Coturnix japonica: one gene and its partner. The protein of the gene in region 2 interacts with the protein of the main gene of each other region in a biochemical or structural test. Links are inferred from orthologs where the notes say so. Each region holds a gene or a part of one and is shown on either strand. Other genes may lie near its edges.

Region 1 (5,120 bases), on a different chromosome or scaffold from region 2:
TCGTTACTTGCATGGGGTTTCAGTTTTGGTTCAGTCCAAGAGGCTGTTTTGCAGTTTTCCTCTAAAGGCTGAAACAGTGGTTCTTAATGTGACTTGAGTTGGTTTTCTGTTGGCAGATGGGTAGAAAAGAACAACAAGTGTTGGTTGGGGTGTGGGCACAGGAGAGATGCACACAGCCTCTAAATACCTTTCAGCTCTGCTCTCTGAGTGATGATTAACTCAGAGATTTAGTGCTGCCATTAAAAGGTTATTTACTCACCAGACTGGGGTGGCTGTGACATAACTCTTACAATGCTGTGCTCTGCGTGTGGGATTAAAGTGGATGACTGCAATTGCCTCTAGAAACCCTCCTGAAGCACTTGATGAAATCTCAACTGTTTTCCTTTTTATTCCTTCCCCCCCTCTCTTACCTTTGGTAGCTGCAGGAAATGAAAGGGAGAGTCCTGTAAACTTTCGGAGTGGATCACAGAGAGCAATCTATAAACATCAAGAATATAACGTTACTGACAAGCAGTAAAACTAACATTGGGGTGATTTACTCCGGAGCTGCTTACATATTGCTCTTCCTGATCCACTTGGAGAGTTTATGGTCAGGCTTTCTTTTTCATTTCCTGGTGCTATAAACATTGTGGCTGGCTCTGAAAAGGGCTCTGCCTGCTTTGCAGGAGGGACCACAGTTCTGTTATAACTTATCCAGCAGCTGATCTGTGCTGACATGGCAGCAAGTAAATACCATATTGCAGCTGATGGCATGCTCACGGAGCTGATCTGTGCTTAAAAAGGGCACAAGAGCAGCTGATGTTGGCCCAGTTTGTGGTTCTTGTTTGTTCTCATTGCAGCCTGCAAGGGTTTCTCTCGCTGGCTGATCTCTACAGTGTTGTCTTAAAGCTGATTTGTACATAATAAACTGTCCCTTCAGCCTCCATCTCTTCTTACATTAAGTTTCTCAGGGCAAGGTTATGTTCTTGGTGCCTAGATATGTGTATGTGGTTCTTACTTATGTTATTTGTAAGCAGTGCAAGTCCAGCACTGTTTTGTTTGTCCTAAGTCAGTGCTGTATCTTGGAGGGGGAATTAAAACAGTGTAGAGATGTGCTGAAAATGAAACTTAACCAAAGCAAAAGATCCAGCAGAGCCTCAGTGGGATACCAGGCAGGGTGAGGGTGTTCTCTCCTCCTTCTTCAGGCTGCATCTCTCTGCTCCTCTTCATCACTGTAAAGACAAAGTGGGAAGGGATTCCTGTTTGTGGGGGTGCACATCTGCCCCGCTTCCTGAGCACACAGCTTGCTCTGTCCTTGCTTCTGTCCTTTGCTTCAGAAAGATGCGTTTCTCTATTTCCCCTCCAGCTCTCAGCCTTTCTTATGTTTGCCATAAATAGGTGATGAAAATAAGAGCTCGTGACTTTAGCAGGGGGAGTTATTCATTTCTCCTGTGGCACTTTGATCTTCTGTGCTCGCAGGTAGAGGAACTGTTTTGTTAAGGAGCTATAAAGGTTCCTGGGGCATGCTGAGCAGTGCTGGCTGCTGTACCGGCAGCTGAAGCATAAGGAGCTGCAAGTCTTGCAAGCAGGATATTAAACTGACATTAGTGTCACAGTATGGGGCGTGAATTAAAGGTTGGAGAGGGCTGTGGGTGTACAGCATCACAGCTTTGAAGCCAAGCTTTGCTAGAGGAAAGCAGCAGTAAAGCTGCCGGAGGACAGGGATGATGATGCTTTCATTTACAGAGCAGGTGTGGTTGGAAATGTTCTGTTTTTCTAAGAGGCTTCTGTTAGGAGTATAAATATTCATCCAAATAGAAGGCACTTAATCTACCTGTAGTCTCTTTGTCTTTCAGTTCAGGTTAGATTTCTACACCTAGCTGTGCTTTTCAAGTGAGAGAGTATCACATTTACTTCTGCCAAGCTGTCCTGTTGGGCAAGCACAATGTATCTGAGCATTAGCAGAGAACGTGGTGTGATATATCTGTATGTGGGTGAGTGCACAACCAACCTAGTGTTCAATGCCTGCTCCTTAGGAGGGTTATTTCAGTGAAAACCACAAGCTGGGATTTCATTTAAGTGATGGGTGTAAGGTGTCCGCTGTATTAGAAGTGTTTTGGCTACTTCTGTGAATGGCAGCCTTTCATAGCAGTGGATTTTTAGGGTTTGGGGATGTAGGGAGGTATATAGGAGGTGTTGGGTGCTGCACACAACAGAGTAAGGCAGTGGTTAATGAGAGAAGTAAATGCATGTGGTGGAAGAGTGATGTTCATGCAAGGCATCTGACCTGAGCTAACTCTAATTGCTGGGTGTCAGTGGGGGACAGACCCACTGGAAGCTGTGAATCCTGGTGTCTCATGGTGGGCTGACAGTCTGTCTTCCTCATATCTGCACTAGGGCTTTCTGATCCTTGAGATGCTGATGCTGTTCTCATCCAAGGATGGGTAGCATTAGCTTCCCATTAGCTTTAACTTGTTCCTTTCCCTTTACTCAGATGCTGAGTGCTTCCTGGTGGATGGACTGCAGAATGAAAACTTGAGCCCTAAAGCAAGGGAGCAGAGGAACACGATTCTCTTTGGCTTCCAGCAAGCCAAAGCCAGGTATGTGTTGTCTCTGTATGTGTCTCCTAATGAACAGTGCCATAACTTGGGGTACTGCATGCTGTATTCAGGCAATGGGACAATTGGCCTGTGCTTTGGAAGATAATGAGCATTCAGGAGCTGCTATAATTGAGAGTATGCTGTGTCCTTCTGTTTACATCAGCTGGTTATATTTGGTTGTCTGTGGAGTTAACAGACTCCAAAGGTAGGCAGTGATGCTTCTTAAAGCAGGAAACATGATTTGGGCAGCATCTGTACAGCTCTTTGCATACGAATCTGATGCTCTTCTTCCTTCACCACGGTGCTATTGGGGGTTTTGTGTATAGGGGGGAAAATCCATTACTTGATGCTGAGATATGTGGATAAATCAGTACAGTATACAAAGGCTCACACTGCTGGCTTGCTGCTGAAAGTATCCATTCCATGTGTGGCTCCTGAGCCCAAATACACATTGCATGTAATCTGGCACAGTAAAAAGGAGAGAAGATGATTTCCTATGTTAAACCTCTGAACTGTGTTCCCAAACCTGATGACCTCAGCCTTGTTCAGGTCTTGAATGAGGGTGGGAGCTGCGTCACTTGGATTCAAGAGCAAAGCAGACAAAGGTTGTGTTGCGGTGCTAGGGGAGGATCAAGGAACATAAAACAGAAAGCATGTTGCTGGAGGCTTAAATGCAACTTGGAGCCTCAGCTGCATTATATTTCTGGCTGGAAATGTGATGTATAGCTTGTTGTTAGTGTTCTAGTTAAAAGATATGAGTTGTGTCATTTGAAGTTAAGACCTGACAATAAAACTCAGGGTGGCTGAGTGATGGAAGCATCCCATTGAAATAAAACTGCTGTCAAGTCCCTGAGATGTAGAGAGTTTTATCCTTTGGAAGGGCACAGCCAGATCCTATTCCCTGCAGTCCCACTGAAGAACTTTGCAAGATGCCCTGCTGTATCTTAATCGATCTTTCCTGCTGGCTAATTATGCATCAGTTTTACTCAGCAACACGGGACTGTGTAATTATCAGCCTGGGTTGCCCTGAATAATTGAAACAAACGGGATGCAGAAGATGGAAGCCTTTGGAAATGGGGCTGTGATGTATCTAAGGTGCGTCTGGCAGTGCCTTGTAGTGCTGGGGAGGAACCTTTTGGTGTGGGTGGGTGCAGAGGGCTGATGTGGCTTCTGAGACATTGCCAGGTAGTGACTTTGGGTTGGAAAGAGTGAAGTAAACAGGACTATGAAACTAAAGTATTCAGACATTAAGTCAAGCTTATATTTATTCCCAGCGATCTTGAGAGCTTAGGAGTGATATATCCTTGTATGATCCAGCACTAGGTCTGTCTTGAATGAATTTTACAACCAGTACCATGGAACCTGATCAATGTGTGAAGTCCTGGATGTTCAGGTTAAGATATGGGCCCCAGCCCCGCTGCTTATTGAAACAGATTGCCAGTAAATGTGGAGGTGGAAGTGAGACCCATAGTAAAGAGCACAGGGCACTGCTGATTTCCTCCTTGTGTTTTATTGCTCGGTGGCATTTGGAAATGGTGAGAAGAGCAGTGTACAAATGCTCTCCTTCTGCCCTGAGCCATTAACGCAATGGTTTGTGGTGGGAGATGACTGTAATGATGACTCTCTTTTTATCTGAAAGGCTCTGAGCAAGCCCTGCTCCTGGTAGGGTGCACAGGTCTGTCCCTTTGGGGCTTCTTGTGGCTTCGTGGCTTCTGCTCAGGAAATCAGCAGCAGTCATGCTCAGGAAGCGCTGTATAACACAGTATAGGGTTTCATTGTTTGGGTTCATCATGGACATAAGTAAACTGCTGAACTACCAGGGAGAGACACACGGTCTCTGAAAGGGAAGAGCTTCATCTCAGCTGATTATCCTGAGCCGCTCTCATAAGTGTTCCTGTAACTTCAGGTCTTTGTATGGCAGCTCTCCCCATGGCCTCATAAGAGCCCCCGCCAGGAGGGCCCTGATGGCTGTAACAGGAACAAGTGCTGGGGCTCTGTCTCCACACATTACCTGGGAGGATATATTGTTCCCCTCTTGCCAGGAGGAGTGCGGTAGGTAGGGGCTGGATTATATTTGCAGCTTATATATGTATATATATTGAGGCAGTTAAGGGTATTTCTGCTCAAGGAGCTGTGTTAGAGGCACTGCCACAGTGCTTGTGGGAAGGCTGTCACCATACAGCTGAGTTACGAGTCCCTGTGCTGTTTTACTTTCAGAAACCATTTGGTTATTTAAAGTGTGTCACTGCATTGAAAAAATGTGGTGTTTTCTTTTGGTTCCCCCCTCTCTTTGCAAACTTGGACCCTGTTCTATTTTCTGATTTCATACACAAAACCTGGCGGTATATACATCCTTTTTTCCCCCCCTTTTGGGTGTTGATAGTCTCTTCTACTTTATTTCTTTCCCCAACTGCATCCATTAGACAAGCCATAGAGAGAAGCTGGAGGTGTGGTCCCCAACAGGACAGTGACAGCAACATCAACACCTTGACCAACAGCTGAGGATGCTGCTCTGGTGCTGCTAAAAACCAAAGTGTGATG
Region 2 (5,120 bases):
GATTGGCAGTTTTTTAAACTGTGGGAGTGTGCTGACCATCAGCTACATAAAAATGACAGAAAGCAGAAAGAACTAACTCATAACTCAGATCTTAAGCTCTGACAGTAACTGTAGCTCCCATACAAATGTATCATACACCCTTCCAACCCATTTAAGCCAGAAGTCCCTCTGAGTTGGAGACTAAGGCAAGGGTAATGTGATGCTATTTAATGCTGAAATCTCTTAGAGGCTCAATATGGTTGTATCTAGCTTGAGTTATGCAAACAATATGAAGTATATGGTCCCCAATTTCCATTTTTATAAAGGGTTTTTGGTGCTATTCAGTGAAGGAAAATTATTTTAAACTAAAAAGTGAAGAAAAATGCTTTTAAGGCTTTTTTTCTTTTCCTAAATAGAACATAAGGGAACTTAATGAATACAGCATAAACACTGAAAAAACGTCTTTGTCTTCATTACAGAGTATGAAATCAGTCATATGCCAAACATAAAAGGGTAGGTGAAAACTGTACTCAGGATTTATCCAGGTGCTTGACCTACCTAGCAGAACAAATACACTTCTCACCCGTCTGCAAAACTATTTTGAACTCAACAATGCTGATTAATGAATCTTAGATGTCTTTGCCCAGTGTACAAAACAAAGTGCTTACTTTGAATTTCTTCCTTATTTCCTGCTCTTTCTTTTCTTTTTCTTTTTGTTCTTTCTTTTCTTGGTCCAATCTTCTCTTTTCTTCCTTTTCTGACTTCTTCTCTTTTTCCCTTGATGTTCTAGAATTAACAACAGTGCAAGTCTTAGTAAAGGTTTCTTACCCAACATCAAAAGCAGCTACACCTGACAGAAGACTACTTCTCCCAGGGAAACCAAAGAAGCAAATTCTAAACCCAAACACGGTTGTAAAAGATTGAAGAAGTAGCCCTCTCTCTTATACTACATACATAATCTAAAGCAGCTGTTTTCAAGACAATATAGCAGAAAGGAAGGCTGGCTCTGCATGTGCACGTCCAAACAGTTCTAGGCTAATTTTGATAAGGAGGCCTGGAAATTGGTAGCAAACTTAGATGCCAAATACATATCCAGGCCATCAGTGGTTCACAAAGCCTGAACTGAAGCCTGAACCTATCAGGATCATGCTATTTTAAACTTAATTGAAAGATATTCCAGTGGTCAACATAAAGTGTACTGCATTGTAAGTGGGCCTAATACACCAGGGTACATTGCCTGTGATGCATTTCATGCCAGACTGTACTAAGATGTGGGGATATAAGTAGGATGATAGTTACAGCTTTGCTGTAACTTTTCGAAGGGAATTTAACAAGAAATTAATGCTGAAAGTCATTCTACTTCAGAAACAATATTTTGGTGGAGGAACTTCAGAATCTCATTTATTCCAAAGGAATTAGAATGTTTCTTTACATCCTAGCATACAATGAATCCCATATACCTAGCTATTAGTGCAGTGAGACACTCCTCAGAATGAAGGGCTAACAAGTGAGCAGAGCTCTGATTTCAGCTCTACAGAAATGCCAGGAGTCTTGGTCCATGTGAGCTGTAAATCCAGTCACTCATACAAATTCACTTATATACAAAGCAAGAACAACCACAACAAAAGGATCTCTGTGAGTTCATAATACTGAGGGGGCTGACCTTGCTTTTGCTTCTAAGCAGTAATTCCAAACAGGGATTCATACATGTTCATTAGATCAGAAATCAGACTTTCCTTTTACCTAACTCACAGTAATAACATTGTTTTATTAAGGATTTTTTTTTCACCCCAGGGCATATGAGATAAAAGTTAGAAATAACCTGTGAACAATATGACTTTCCCTAAGTCAAATGGATGAATCCAATAATGCTTGGTAGCAACTGCACTGGAATCACTTCTATTGTGCCACATGAAGCACCTCTTCTAGGAAGCTTTTGCTAATAAAAATACAGGGGTTTGTAGGTTTTTGCTAATAGGCTACAGGGTTTTAAATTAATACCTGATGTCATTTATGTCCTCATACATCTCTCCATCACTTCCTTGGTCCTGTAAGACAAAAATCATTTAAAATGGTTTAGATACATCTGAAAAGAAGAACCTGTTATATGAGCTTTACAGACTATATAAAAACATTTACAGAAAGATTTTCATACCCATCCTTTTTTTTCTCCTGACTTTGTATTTATGATATCAGCTATAGTGCCCTTGATTGTTGCTATCACAGCAGCACAATGCTTCATCAAAAGTGGATGTTTTAAATTGCAATGCTAGTCCTGGAAACCCTTTATCTGCAATGATTATTGCATTGCTATGATGAAAGTGCCACAGTTAGTAGCAGTAACTAACATCCCACTCTGGAGTGCCTGGTATCTAAATGGAAGTCAGATTAGGGTCTGAGAACCTGTTTTAGTCCTAGTTCAGCCAGGTACTCACATATATCAAGACAAACCTATGCTCAGCTGACGCAAGTCATTTATTACTATAATGGAACAGGGCTCTTGTTTCTGGGAAAGCCCAATGAGATTAAATGTCAAAAGAAATAGAAGTTTTGTTTTGTTTTTAAAGAAAAGCAGCAGCAACAACAACAAAAACACTCTTTTTTTGTTAAAAAAGTAAACTAATGTCAAGCCAGCTTTGATAGTTAGCTCTGCTTACACAGTTTTATTTATGTCCTGCATAATAAATACTTCTACGATTTATTGTCAGTGTGGCCAGATTCATTCCACAACTCATTTTCTAATTAATTGGAAGTAACTTGCACTAAAAAGGATAAATTTATCAGGGAGGATAACGCTTACCCCATCTTTATTTCCAGGACCTGCGTAACCAAAAATAAAAATCAGGATGTTAATTTTCTGTTGTACAAAAGCAATTCAATCTAGTCTTAATTCTTTACAGACTGCTAAAACACAAGTGGTATTAAATGGAAATAAATGCAGGCTCTTACTTTCAGTGAGGATCTGAGAGTGTAAAAAACAGAGGTTTTCAAGGTACTTTTTCTTGTACATTGTAAAGTGGTCATACCTGCTTTAAACACTTCACTTCACCTGCTGTTTTGTAAAAAATAGCTTATTTTGCCACAGTTTTAGAAGTGAAAAATTTGTTTTCAAGATTCATCTGTGACACTGACAAACTTAACTATGGAATTTTAATGTAAAATCAACATTAAAAAAAAAAAGACAACTTGGTCTGAGCAGACCACAAACAACTTTCTTGCACCAACCCTGCAGCTGTTTAGGGGGTGCAAAGCTTTTCCTGTTAAGCCGGTGTCTGTCCTGAGCTGCAGAAGGAGGAAATCTGAATCCACCACTTCCTCCTCCCTGCACAGATAGGTTTGGTAAGCAAAGAGCTTGGGCTCAGATGCAGCTCCAGTGCCCACAGTGCTGTACAGCACGGATGGCCATCACTCTAAAGGACACATACTGTGCCTGGCACAGACTGATGCCTCCAGAAGAGAGATCAGAAGGCAGATTGAAATTCTTTGTGTTGCAATCTGCTTGCTTCTCTGGCTGCTCCTGGTACAGCACAGCCACTCACTGCCTTTTACAGAAGGCAGCTCAGAAAGAAACACTAGAAGCACAATCAAGATATTATTATTTTCTTAATCAAGTATAAAAAAATGCCTGGAGTGCACAGCTTCAACTCTGAAAGAACAGCATTAATTCGGTTTGGTTTTTAAAATCTGGTAATTTGCAGACCCATTATACTCAACACAACAACAAAACAAAAACAGGGAGACTAGGGGAGGAGAGTGGAAGAGAGATATTTAAAGCAGTTCCTGAAAGGATGTCATATTAATTGTAAAACAGCTGTTATGAGAAAAACTTCTTCGTTTATAAAACTGCAGTACCAGAATAATCAGTTACATCAATCACTCACAAGCACATTAAGATACAATATGCTTTTGCTTCTCTTACAAATACAATTTACTTACAGCTTCATATAGCTGTTATTATTTAAAACTTACCCATCCTACCCTGTAAAAGAAATTCAACATCATCATAGTTTTCTTCAGTGTCTGGGTTTCTGTAAATAAGAAAAAGGGAACATGTGAAAGCTATAAAGATAATTTTACGGTTGCATTTTCATATAGCTATTTTTCTGCTGCCTTTTTCTATTATTTTATAGAATGACAGGGCACCATGTTGAGCCTTATATGTTCCTTAAGTACTCATGCAATTCCCTAAGCTGCTCTTCATGTGATTAGGTTTCTCACATACAGACACCATGGTCTTGAGTATGGATGGAGAAAAGGAGCTGAAGGCTCTCGGACACCATGGAGATGAGTGTGGTATGAGAAATACAACAGGCACATGAGCTGACCGAGTGGAGTGTCGGTTGGTCATCTTAATCACACTCACAGATGAGGGCTTCTCACACACAGTATACAAGCAGAACACCAGATGTTTTGCACAATGGTAAATACAGCTCTACAGATTGCTCCCTGACTTGTATGGCAAGTGCAAACAGTGGACAGGAGAAACCACAACTTAAGAATAGGCCAGGTATAAGGGCTCTGGTGTTGCCGAAGTGCTGCCAAACCAAGAGAAGTAAGAAAGTGAAAATTTAGCTCGAAATTATATTAGAGATCTTTAACTTTTGAACACTCTATAATAGTCGAAGTAGGACTGTCAGCCTGGGTATTCATTCAATAGAGGGGTGTCACGGGAGCGAGGAGAGGAGAGCGGGACCACCCCTAACAAGCACCGACCCACCGGGACCGCCGCTGCCGCCAGGGGGGGACGGAGCACAGCTCCAGGGTGCGGGCAGAGCCCAAAGCGCTGCCGGGCGGTCCCATACGTCTCCCCGTCTGCCCTTAGAAGCGAGCTGCTGGCCGGAGGAGAGCTCGAGATTATCCCCAGCTTGTTTCCGGTCAGCTTGCACGCCATAAAGAAGTGCTCTCCCCTCTTCACCGCTGTAGGCTTGCCGATTAGCCGGCGGCTTTTCGAAGAAGGGCGATGTAAGACCGAGGTATAACGGAGGCTTCTAATATTACCGCGGCCGGCCAGGCTGCGCTCCGTCGTGCGGTTTCACACCGACCGCTGATCTCAGTTCCTCGCGCTTGCACGGTGGGGTGTCAGCTAAGACAGACTGGCCCTCCTGACTCCTTCCCTCCGGAAAAATGCACAGGAAGGCTTC

Evidence for each region. The genes of interacting proteins can lie anywhere in the genome.
Region 1: the proteins of FYB1 (region 2) and SKAP1 form a complex in vitro, tested with the Homo sapiens proteins (2 studies listed by BioGRID and IntAct, with this or other methods). The link is inferred for Coturnix japonica from reciprocal best matches to the Homo sapiens genes FYB1 and SKAP1.

What each region holds. Positions count from the first base shown.
Region 1 is NC_029542.1:3,286,350-3,291,469, forward strand, and holds part of SKAP1 (src kinase-associated phosphoprotein 1), read left to right. Parts: intron 1-2,473; coding exon 2,474-2,579; intron 2,580-5,120. UniProt on the Homo sapiens protein: Positively regulates T-cell receptor signaling by enhancing the MAP kinase pathway. Required for optimal conjugation between T-cells and antigen-presenting cells by promoting the clustering of integrin ITGAL on the surface of T-cells.
Region 2 is NC_029547.1:11,245,269-11,250,388, forward strand, and holds part of FYB1 (FYN-binding protein 1), read right to left. Parts: intron 5,089-5,120; coding exon 4,978-5,088; intron 4,008-4,977; coding exon 3,949-4,007; intron 2,800-3,948; coding exon 2,780-2,799; intron 2,028-2,779; coding exon 1,981-2,027; intron 766-1,980; coding exon 648-765; intron 1-647. UniProt on the Homo sapiens protein: Acts as an adapter protein of the FYN and LCP2 signaling cascades in T-cells. May play a role in linking T-cell signaling to remodeling of the actin cytoskeleton. Modulates the expression of IL2. Involved in platelet activation.